Drosophila melanogaster: one gene and its partner. Changing the gene in region 2 together with the main gene of any one other region gives a genetic interaction. Each region holds a gene or a part of one and is shown on either strand. Other genes may lie near its edges.

The links.
Region 1: of Pdf (region 2) and Dh31, changing one suppresses a phenotype caused by changing the other (phenotypic suppression), as found in Drosophila melanogaster (one study listed by BioGRID).

The regions. Positions count from the first base shown.
Region 1 is NT_033779.5:8,502,786-8,508,554, forward strand, and holds the start of Dh31 (diuretic hormone 31), read right to left. Parts: upstream 4,061-5,769; 5' UTR 4,008-4,060; intron 3,922-4,007; 5' UTR 3,850-3,921; intron 1-3,849. UniProt on the Drosophila melanogaster protein: Regulation of fluid secretion. Stimulates Malpighian tubules fluid secretion by activating the apical membrane V-ATPase via cyclic AMP of principal cells in the main secretory segment.
Region 2 is NT_033777.3:26,454,040-26,459,035, reverse strand, and holds Pdf (Pigment-dispersing factor), read left to right. Parts: upstream 1-2,894; 5' UTR 2,895-2,972; coding exon 2,973-3,281; 3' UTR 3,282-3,574; downstream 3,575-4,996. Other genes in the region: CG14238 (uncharacterized protein), read right to left, coding at 490-683; CG14237 (uncharacterized protein), read right to left, coding at 1,794-2,159; CG43117 (uncharacterized protein), read right to left, coding at 3,996-4,223. UniProt on the Drosophila melanogaster protein: Neuropeptide PDF is the main transmitter regulating circadian locomotor rhythms. Required to maintain behavioral rhythms under constant conditions by coordinating pacemaker interactions in the circadian system.

The DNA of each region.
Region 1 (5,769 bases), on a different chromosome or scaffold from region 2:
TGGAACGTTTCCTGGTCCTTGTTTTCCTTAAGGTAATACGTTTCATTTACTTTTCCTTTTTTTTTTTTGTTAAAAAATTATTCTTTTCCATTATAGTAATGAAAATTTCAACGGGCGCAAAAATTTCAAAGGCAAATTTTCAAAAAATACATTTTATTGGTACCTCGTTTAATGTTCGGCTTTACTTGTTTCGCGCAGCATAGTATTTAATTTGAATACCGACCATAAACATTCAAATATTTTTTGAAGCGAATTTATTACAAAATGCTAACTTTGTCATACAAACAATTCAGGCAAGATCTGGGCGACTTGGTCGGGGGTGGATTAAAACAAACACTCCCAAGGAGCAGCTCGCATAAAACCCAACGCCAAAGCATTTTTGAGGACACGGGAACAGCAGCAGATGGATGGAGGCAACGAGGACCTTCGGCGAGGTCGAATGCATGTCTTATCACCGAGCACTGGTATTTGGACTCACGTGGCAGCAGCAGCCAAAGTGCCCAGGAGAATGCTTATGGGAAAATGCAACATAAAATACTTTTTAAATGCGAATAAATATTTGGCAGCTGTGCGGTGAAATACCATCAAAGCGCTGCTCGTGGAGCTCCATTGGTGGGGTTGGGGCTTGTGTCGAAGGAAAGTGAAAATTTATATGTTAAGAGACCGAATTTACATTCCATGACGGCGTAAGCAGCTCAAAATGAATCAAATGGGGTAAGAAATTACCTGCAGTTAAGCGCCAATATTGGTTGCAGAATTGCAGATAAAGTAGCTCAAGCGAAAGGCGAGCACCGAAATATATCTGCTAGATAAACAGGGCTCAAGGTACTGTAGGTCGCGTATTAAAGCAACAGCATTAAAATTTCTGTAACTAATTGAATTAAATTTTACACTTTGTAATAGCAAAGTTACTGTTTCCCTATTATTTTACCATACAATTTTAGTTGAATGTAATACATTTCATGCTCAGTAAAAGAATCTAAAAACTTGATATATAGCATAATAATTAATTACCGAAAAGGCATTGCTGCTCATTTTGCAACCAACTTTTAACAAATTGCTACGCACTACATAAAGCCCACTTCACTTGACTTTTAACACCCCGGCAATTTGAGAGTTTATGAATTCATAAACTCGCCCAATTAGAGGCGTAAACATTTTCGGACTGAAAATCGTGCTCAATTAAATTCATGCAGGGTTCGTTTTGGGGAGAAATATAAAGCGGAAATATTATGAGCCAAGTACTCCGCTTAATAAAAATGCAATAAATGGGCAGATAAGCCTGAAAAGTTGCCACGAATCTTTGAATTTAGCACGGAGCAAAAACACGGACTCCTGCTAATGAAAAGCATCCGATTTTCATCTGCAATTGTCCCCAGTTTGTTTTTTGGCATTCTCATTGCCTTGGGGCATGTTAATTTTCGAAGGGGATTCCCCTGCCCTGCGGTGATTAGTATGCACATGTGAGACGGCGGGGCCAAAGTTCGGATGCTGCCAGTAAACACACTGGCTAAACAATTTAATTAATAAAAATATGCAAATTTCATTAGAGCGAGAGCAGTTCAAGGAGACTCGCCCTCCACTTTTGGCCCAAAAAGTTTCCTAAGCTTCTATGCGTCTATGTATTTCGTATTTTTGGGGCTTAAGCCATTTTTTTGGTGATGCTCAAGTGAATTTTTAAAGCCCCTTAAGCATTTTTTAATTGTTGCCCAGTTGAGGTAAACTCCTTTATTCCAAAACGAATTAATTAAGCACGAAAGTTTCCGCATCTGAGTGTTTTCACAGACCCAGGGATAAAAGAAAATGAGCGTCGATGAAAAAGGAAATCCCAAGACCCAAATCATCAGCCCTCTTACCGTCTGCATCTCCTGTTTGCTGCCTTTTGTAAATTTAAAGAAAACACGAATTACGAATTGTCCACAAATCGACACAGTAGAGAGCATTTCATAAACAACCGGAGGGCAGGACATGAAAATGAGTAGTTTTTTTCACGACCTCCATTTCATCCAAAGCACCTGAGCGAGAGAATTGAATTTTCCAGAAGTGGCATTTTGCGCAAGAAAGTAGGCAACACAAAATGATCAAAAGGTCGACGGAGGTGTGAAAAACAGTGAATAAAAGTACTTTTATTGCGGAAATTGATGGATGTGAGTTTAGTTAAACTTTTATACTTTGTCAATTGAAAAGTGCTATAAAATAGTGCATAAAAATAAATATTTTACTTAAATAAGATTTGGGATTTTTTTGGATTCGGAATCATGTGAACTAAAACCAATTAAAATCAAAGCTTAAAATAGTATCCGAATTAAGCTGCTATACCCACATTCAAAGCCAGTTAAAACATAATCCGTCTTGTTTACAATTTCTTCCATGATACTGAATATTCAATTTGAAAATCGGATGTAAAAAATGGAAAGGATTAGAAGCAATTGGCGTGGACACTGTGCAAAAGCAACTCACGTTTTCTACTGCCGCAGCTAAGCGGCTTTTGCGATGCACCGCATTTAATACATTTTTAATTTCATCACTTTTCAATTATGCTTTTTTTAATCTACATGGTTAAATGGTCTTCAATTTGATGCCCACGTAAGCGAAATTAAATTGCTGATTTATTAAACGTTCAACTTGAAGTCGCGCTTGTCGGCAACTTCAATTGAATTTTCTTTAAGTTTTTTTTTTTTTTGGGCCATCAAGTCATTCGAATCACTGAACAATTGAGGAGTTTCTGCGAACTCGAATCGCCCAACTGTTGTTCCTCCTAATGCAGGGAAATTAATTTCATAAGCCCAACTTTAAGATCAGAACTTCCACAAGTTCTCACTAAACTTTTGGCAATTTAAGTTAGTAACAGCCAAGTGCGCTGCTCGTAAGATCATAAAACTATAAAGGCGCTCTAATGTGGGAGCAAAAGTAAAGCTCAAAATGATTGCGATAATCCAAAGGACTTAGTTGGCCCGAGCCGGGCCAAGAGGTAATAAAGCCAAGGAGCCAGCTTCAATTTTGCAGCAAGAAAATAAAGATTTACCCAGATACGAGTACTGGGGCCAAAAGGTCGCCTGGGCCAAAGCCCAAAGAGTGCCCAGCCCATTTAGGAAGGACAAAGGGGATGCAACAAATGTCCTGGGCTCAACACACATCATCGAAGGACCTCAGCATCGGTCCTGGGTTACATGTTGACTTAATGGCTTAGGCCAGCTAAGAAGCAATTTATAAAAAGGCCAGCTCATTTTCTGAATAATAAACGTTGGCAGTTTTGAGCAAAGAAAGCATAATTAAGAGCAAGTATTAACAAGAATTTAAACACTAGAAATTTAATAAAAAGTTCACTTTCTTAAAATTAAAATATTTACGAAATTGTTGTCTAATTGATTGACAATAATTCTACAGCAAGAAAACTATCTTCAAATTCAATGCAAATTTAATTTTCAAACTAAAACACGGGAAAAACCGTGTGTTTTTGAAAATGTTTGATTTTATAATTTGCATACCAAAAACCTTAAAGAACTTTTCCTTAAAAGCAAAAGAAAAATAGTTTGAAATTTAGTAAAAGTTGCAAATTAACCGTCGGCAAAAAAAAAGGATTAAAATCTTATTGATTGCGAATTTTATGTAAATAGTTTTCTGAAGTTCAAAATGTTTTAGGTTTTTTAGAACTAATTAAAATCAAAAACGCAAGGTTTTATTTACTTAGAGGATTATGAAAATTACTAATAAATATTAGTTAATAATATGAACTAATAAGATTTTTTGGACATAAGAGTTTTTCTTTACTCAAATTAATAATAAGCATACGAAATTTTCAATTTATTTTTTAATTTTAACTGAAAATTAAATATCTTTATCACTCACCCTTTTTCACAAATGCACACAACACTTTCGCTTTATTTGCGATCAAAGTTCGATTGGTTTAGATCGATTCCACTGCAAAACACAAGAACAAAGTTCAAAAACGTTGAGAGACGATGCTCGATGGGATTTTGAAAAACTTTTTGGAATCGGTTCTTTACAATATTAACCGTTACTGCTGCTGACTGCACCGCTTTGAGACTGAAACGCAAGTGAAATCGGCAGCCAAGGAGACCGCGATTTATACGAGTCCAGGATACGAAAGATTTCAACGCGTTCAGGTGGCACCCGAGTGGAAACTCCGAAGTTCGGTCCACGTCCTCGGGTCCGCCCACGACGTGATACTTGCTGCTTTTGGGCCGATTTCAATGGGGATTGTGCGCAGTCATGGGATGGTCGTTGGGTGCTGGCCAACTGGTCGTATACGCAACACGTGGCAAAAGGGCAACAGCAACACGGCAACACACAGTTGGCTACGTTCTGCATCAGTTTATTAATCATCTATTACGCACAATTATCGAAGCGTTTATCGAGCCATTGTCCATCGATCATGACTATCAGCATTGGATTAATCAGCATCTGATAGTTTTCAATTAGTGCCCGCGGATGCGGCAGCTGTCAGCCATCAAATCCAATATAAATCCCCCCCAATATTCCAGATTATTAATAACTTTACGTGCATTATCTCATAATTGGCAGTACATCAGCTATCTCATCGTTCTGCGAAGCAACTCTGACTAATCAGTTGAGAGATTACCATCACAATTATTCGGTTATTTTCGCATGCTCACAATTAGTCGTCCCTAAAAGCCATATATCGTAATGAGATAAGAGACACCATATTGATAAGGAAGTTATATCATTGGCTATATCCGGACTGACTGATGTAAATTGAATGGTTGCTGTTGATATTTGATTATGGCAATCCTAAATAGTAAATAAAGGTTATGTTGCCTACAAAAATATGTTCCATATTCAATAATGGCCACTTCATTGACTTGTGATTATATGATATTTTAAAACTTAGTATAGACCAGTTGTCTAAAATATTATATTCAATATTCAAATTTGCAATCATAAAATATTTTTCAAATTACCACAGACCAATGTGAATTGGAATCCATTAATGTTAAGGAAAGTATCATTTTATAGAGCATTTTCATTGAATTATTTTGACAATTAGTGCTAACGAATTGCAAGTTCTTTTTGTTTTCTAACTCAGCTTAATATACCTTAATCCATGTAAATCCTTTCAGTGACCCACATTTTTTCAGAAGCTAATTCATGTGTACCAAAAGGTTGGCTAGCGGAAATGGGGAAATGCCAAATGCGTATGTAGGGAATCCTAACCGCCCATATCCACATGGAAGTATGCATGTTTATCTGGACAAATACATATATATGGATTTTATGGCAGGCACAGAGAACGCGGCTAATGATAATTTGGGCTGATAAAAGCTTTACAATGTTTTTGTTGCTTCCGACGACGTGTCCGGCTTGGTATTTGGTTTTTGCCATACTTATTCGGCGGTTACCATGAACGTGATTCTAATCTCTGGAGCAGCGACCTTGCCCATGTAAAAAAGCCGCTCAATGGATCTCGCACGATGGAATTGGACAAGACAGCTGGACATATGAACATTCTACTGTCAAAGTTCCGGCGAGTCATGTTAATTAAGAGAAATTATGCAAGCGAATTGCTACTTTTGGTCAACCTACTCATAATACATAATTCGTCAAAGGCGAGACATCAAAGAAATTGCATTTTGCTGTACTCCCACTGGATAGATGGTTCGGAAATGAGGAGTTTTACGAAAAAAATATATATAAAATATATATGCATATAAATCAGTTATTATGAAAATTGAAATTGACTTTGTTGTGTGTACACGTTGCAACTTCCCGCTGAGCAAAGACCGTTGC
Region 2 (4,996 bases):
CAAAACAAACAACAAGTCTGAGTGATGCGACGAAAGGTAAACAAGAGTCAAAAAGACTCCATCCCCCACGAAATTCCATTAAAGTTTTTACTAGTACAAAGTGTGAGGTGGACAGCTTACACTTGAAAAAAAGTACACCCCGAAATGATAATACAAATTGGCTTTAAGATACAAAATTCATAGGATTTCCTATTTCTAGATTCAATTCATATGCATATTTTTATCCAAAAATCCTATGTAAACTACATTGTGTTGTTTGGAAATCGTGGCTACTTTTTTTTTGAGTGTGGGGGTGCGGCCGCAGTGTTGGTGGTTTCTATGAAAGTGGGTGGCCAGGTTAGGCACACATTAAACACATGATTTCACTTTTAATTGAAAATCAAAACCCCGCGGCATGACGTCAGCATCGACTGACTGTTGTTTACATTTCGAGTTGGGAGTTTTAATCAGATGCCTGGGGTAGCCAGGATCCGTGGGTTTCATCCTTACCAGCGCCACTCCTGCGTCTTCTTGATCATGATGGTGAAGATGCCCTCGAGCAGCAGCAACAGCAGTGGTCCACATAGTGCCCAGTATATGATATCACTCTTTAAAGCCACCACCTGCCAAATGGCCAGCAGGCTGTGCGCACTGAAGATGATCCTCGTGAGGATGGCCTTGATCGTCGAGATTATCTTGGCCATGGCTGCAATGACATAATCCTCTCGTGCTCGCTTCCTGCAGCTCGGATAATCAGGACCGAGGAATACCACCAAATCGACCCGAACCGACGAAGCGAACCGCACACGGCGAAAAGGTAAACGCAACTGACAGCAGAAATCGCGGGGTCCCAAATGCTTTCATTAGATGTTTAAACGCTTTTTAAGAAATTAAGGACACAGCCGCGAATGGCGCGTAATTGGTGAATGGCCACGGACCCCCGTCCCGATGTCCTGTGTGTGCGTTCAGGACGAATCATCTTCGGCTTGTCCAGGGACGAACTGCAGACCGAAAAGTAAAGATTCTTCATAGTAAGGAGAGAGTAAAAAATATGGATCTTAAATAAATTCTAGCTAATAATAACTTTCTTAATATATTTTAAAACCTTTTTTTTCCATTTTAATATATGGGAAATTAAGTTTCATTTACTTTCTATACTCTGATGTGACCAAGACGCTCCTGGAAATGTCTTCCCAACCGAAATCGAACCCATGCGTGTTTCACTTATGTGTGCCTCCAAGTCACACCACGACCATTAAATGCTTCAGCTGACTTTTAAGACGGCAAACGGTGGACGATAAACGCGGAGTCCGCGTTCCACCCACCGGATTTTGGGTCTGGCCACAAATGCAGTGCAAACAAATCGTCGGAGTGAACGACGCCGAGCCTTGGCCATCAAACTGCTGGGTAATGTGGCTGCATGGAAAGTTATAGTCATCGTAAACCTACCCCGTCGAGATATATCCGATGTTTGCCCATTGGTTGGGGGGCGGAGTTGGGTCAATGTTTTTGCCGCACGTGAAGTCATTGAACAGGCATAAATAAAGGATGATGTGCGTTGTGTGACTGGGCACAGCCATGCTAGAAGGGGCAACCTGTTGATGGGAACAAAGAAAATTTCAAATAAGGTAAGTAATTTGGCATATATTACGCATACGACATGTGCAACAACCATTGGGGAATCCTTCGCTTTTCACACGTTCTAGTACTGACCTTTCTATTATCCTTATGGTTTTAAATACTCAGATGTTTTTTTTTTTTGGAAAATTGCTTTTATTGCATGTATGGATATGACTTGATGTGGATTTTGGAACCTAGCCCTGATTGCGGCGTCGCAGCAGCCTATTGAGGCTGCGCACACTGACCCGCCTTCCGGAGCGATTCCTGGTCCTGTTCCTGGAAGTGGAACTGGCACTGGTGTCACGGTAGACGCGCACCCTGCGCTTAATCGAGTACTTGAGGTTCTTGATCCTGAACCGCTTGCGATGGACCTTCGAGGAGGAGGAGGAGGAGGAGGAGGACGCGGTGGTGGTGGTCGTGGTGGCTGCTGTCGTCGTGGTGGTGGTGTCACTGTCCGTCGTGGTCGTCGTAGTCTCCGTGGTGGTTGGCGATGAGGCGTTGGTTGCCCAAATGCATAGGCTTATCGCTAGGATTCGGAGTGCCAGTTGTCCTGTCTTCATGGTGTGCTCGGTGATGCCGTTGCTCGGATGAACTACCACTTCGGAGGCTGGGAGTTTTATATGTGACCAAGACAATTGGCGGAATTTCTCAGCAAATATTTGCATTTTGCTCTCGCCAATTACGTCCGCGCGAAATTTTTTGGCCATATTTACACAGTTTGGTGATCAAACAAAGGAACAAGCTGGAATTTCGCAAAACGGCCCAACTGCCGAGCTAGCTATTAAGTTTTATATATATTTAAGATTGGTATTTTTACGAGCTTCGTTCTAAAATTAATCACACAATTACACAGAGAGAAAACGAATTGAGCAAAATATTATTCACAAATAAGGTTCGTTTTAATGGAAGGTCAGCAATTTTGTCTGCAATCGTATATTATTTAAATCCAATAAATAAGTTGGTTTAAAGAAGTGCCTAAATTGGGTATCCTCCTTTTTTTTGAGTGCCACATGGAGTCGCCAGTGAGCTGCCTTCCCGTACAAATATCGCTGGACTTGAATGGGATTTGGTGCCTGCATGTTGGCACATAAAACACTGCATAACCAAATATTTGCGTGGCTCCAACTCGACTCCGTATTTGCCTGGGCTAAAGGACCGCCGCTGCCTGCGGATGACATGTATTGGTCCTGCGGATGACACCGATACTGACGCTCTTGGGTTGCGTGGTCGGGCGGTCTCCCGCAGTGGGTTATCCAGTCCAGGTTGCTATATAAGTCGAGGATGCGCCAACCGACGTTCATTCGCAAGTCTCCTGCTGCAGGTGTTCCGTGCTCAGTTCCTGCTCCTGGCCATCCTTCCAGCTCCTCGGACTAATGGCTCGCTACACGTACCTTGTCGCCCTTGTGCTTCTGGCCATTTGCTGCCAGTGGGGATACTGCGGCGCCATGGCCATGCCGGATGAGGAGCGCTATGTGCGCAAGGAGTACAATCGGGATCTCCTCGACTGGTTCAACAACGTGGGCGTGGGACAGTTCAGTCCCGGCCAAGTGGCCACTCTCTGTCGCTATCCGCTGATCCTCGAGAACTCCTTGGGCCCATCCGTGCCCATCAGGAAGCGCAACTCGGAGCTAATCAACTCCTTGTTGAGTCTGCCCAAGAACATGAACGATGCGGGCAAGTAAGAACGGAAAATGCTGAAGGATTAGGACGACCCACCACTGAAAGATGGAACCTGGACAAGAATTTATTATTTGATGTTATAGTATGATTTTTTGGTGCGTCGAAGGAAAATGAAAATCCGCAGATAAAAGCCGGTGTAGTCATCTAATAGAGAGAAAAGACCGTATAACTTTTGTTGCTTTAAACCTAAATAGAAAAATATACAAGTAGCCTATTGTAGAAATGTTGTATATTATTAGGCTTACTGCTGAAATAAACGTTTTCTGGATTGTTTCGACTTGAAATCTGGTACAACAACTAGTCAGGATTTTTATTCTTAATCACAGATACTAAAGCTAGTTAAAGATATTGGTTATCCCCGTAAAGGGCGAACCAATGAAAGCCAAAGGTGTTCTCAAAGTAGATTTTGTTCAATGCTACGATTGGAATAAATAGATGTTTCTAGCTTAGAATAGCAGCCCCATTTCGTTTATTGACTTCATTTATTATGCTATATCTAAGCAGTCAAAACCTAAGGAACTTGGCCATGAACTTGGCAAACAAATGCGTAGAAAGTAAACTAAATGAGAACTAAAGTATGTTCATAAAAAACACACTTATAAACAGAAAGACAAAAAGATCTGTATGTAGAAGTATAAATTGTTGTGCCCATTATTAGAAATGTGTTTTCTTTAGGTATTTTTTATTCGCCATTGTTTGGTAAGCTAAAGATCTTATTAACCAGATTTCTTGTTAACATGGATCCTGCGCACTGTCTTATAGTGGAGATTACGGATCGTAAAATGTTTCCTATGAACGGTTGTGGCCTTGGCAGTGGTGGTTGTGGTTGCCTCCGTGGTTGTGGTGTTGGTGGATGTGGTGGAATTGGTCTGGGCTGAGGAAGGCTGCAGCAGGCAGAATCCGGCGAATAGGACGAGCGCCAATAGATAAGTGCTTAGCTTCATTGTGCGGCTTTGCAAGAATCGTGAATGTATAAGACGAGGCTTTAGAGGCCTTTATATATACGAAAGTTTTCTACGCCAGACAATAACAAATATCCGCAGATGATAAGTAAATAGCGAAATACAATTGAAAATCAGCAAAAACAAATTTTGCACGCCACATTTTGCTTAACTTGTTTGCTTCCAATTCGATGTTTACCCGCCGCAGGAAAACAGTTGTAGGCGCGTTTAAATGACGGCAATATATATATTTTTCTTATAAGATATATAACTATGTTAATCAATGTTGCTGATTTATATTAAATATCGAACGATTCTCGATTCGATTTATGTGTAAGTTCATTTGGCGCTGTTTGAAATCGGTAAGTATTGTATAGAAAAAGTTATGCGTATGCATTATGTCTGATTAAGCTTGAACTATGTGTGTGTGTATTTATGCAAATGTTAATGCCATATTGAAATTACAACATTAGACAATCGAATTGTTGGCAACTACTACAAACATGATGTATACAATTCTATTCATTTTCAAATTACAAAACAATCAATTCTCGCTGGCCTTTCGGTCCGATTAATAAAACAATTGTAACATATGCGAATGTGTGTATATGTTGATGCTTCTTGCTTCGGCTCAAAATGCAGTTTCGGTAGCTTTTCACTTACATGACTATGCCTGCTATTGCATAAATACTAACTAACTGGCCGTACACTGCCTTGGCTAATCATTAACGGCTAATCTAGCATACAGTATGTGGCTGCAGCGGAGGCACATCTAC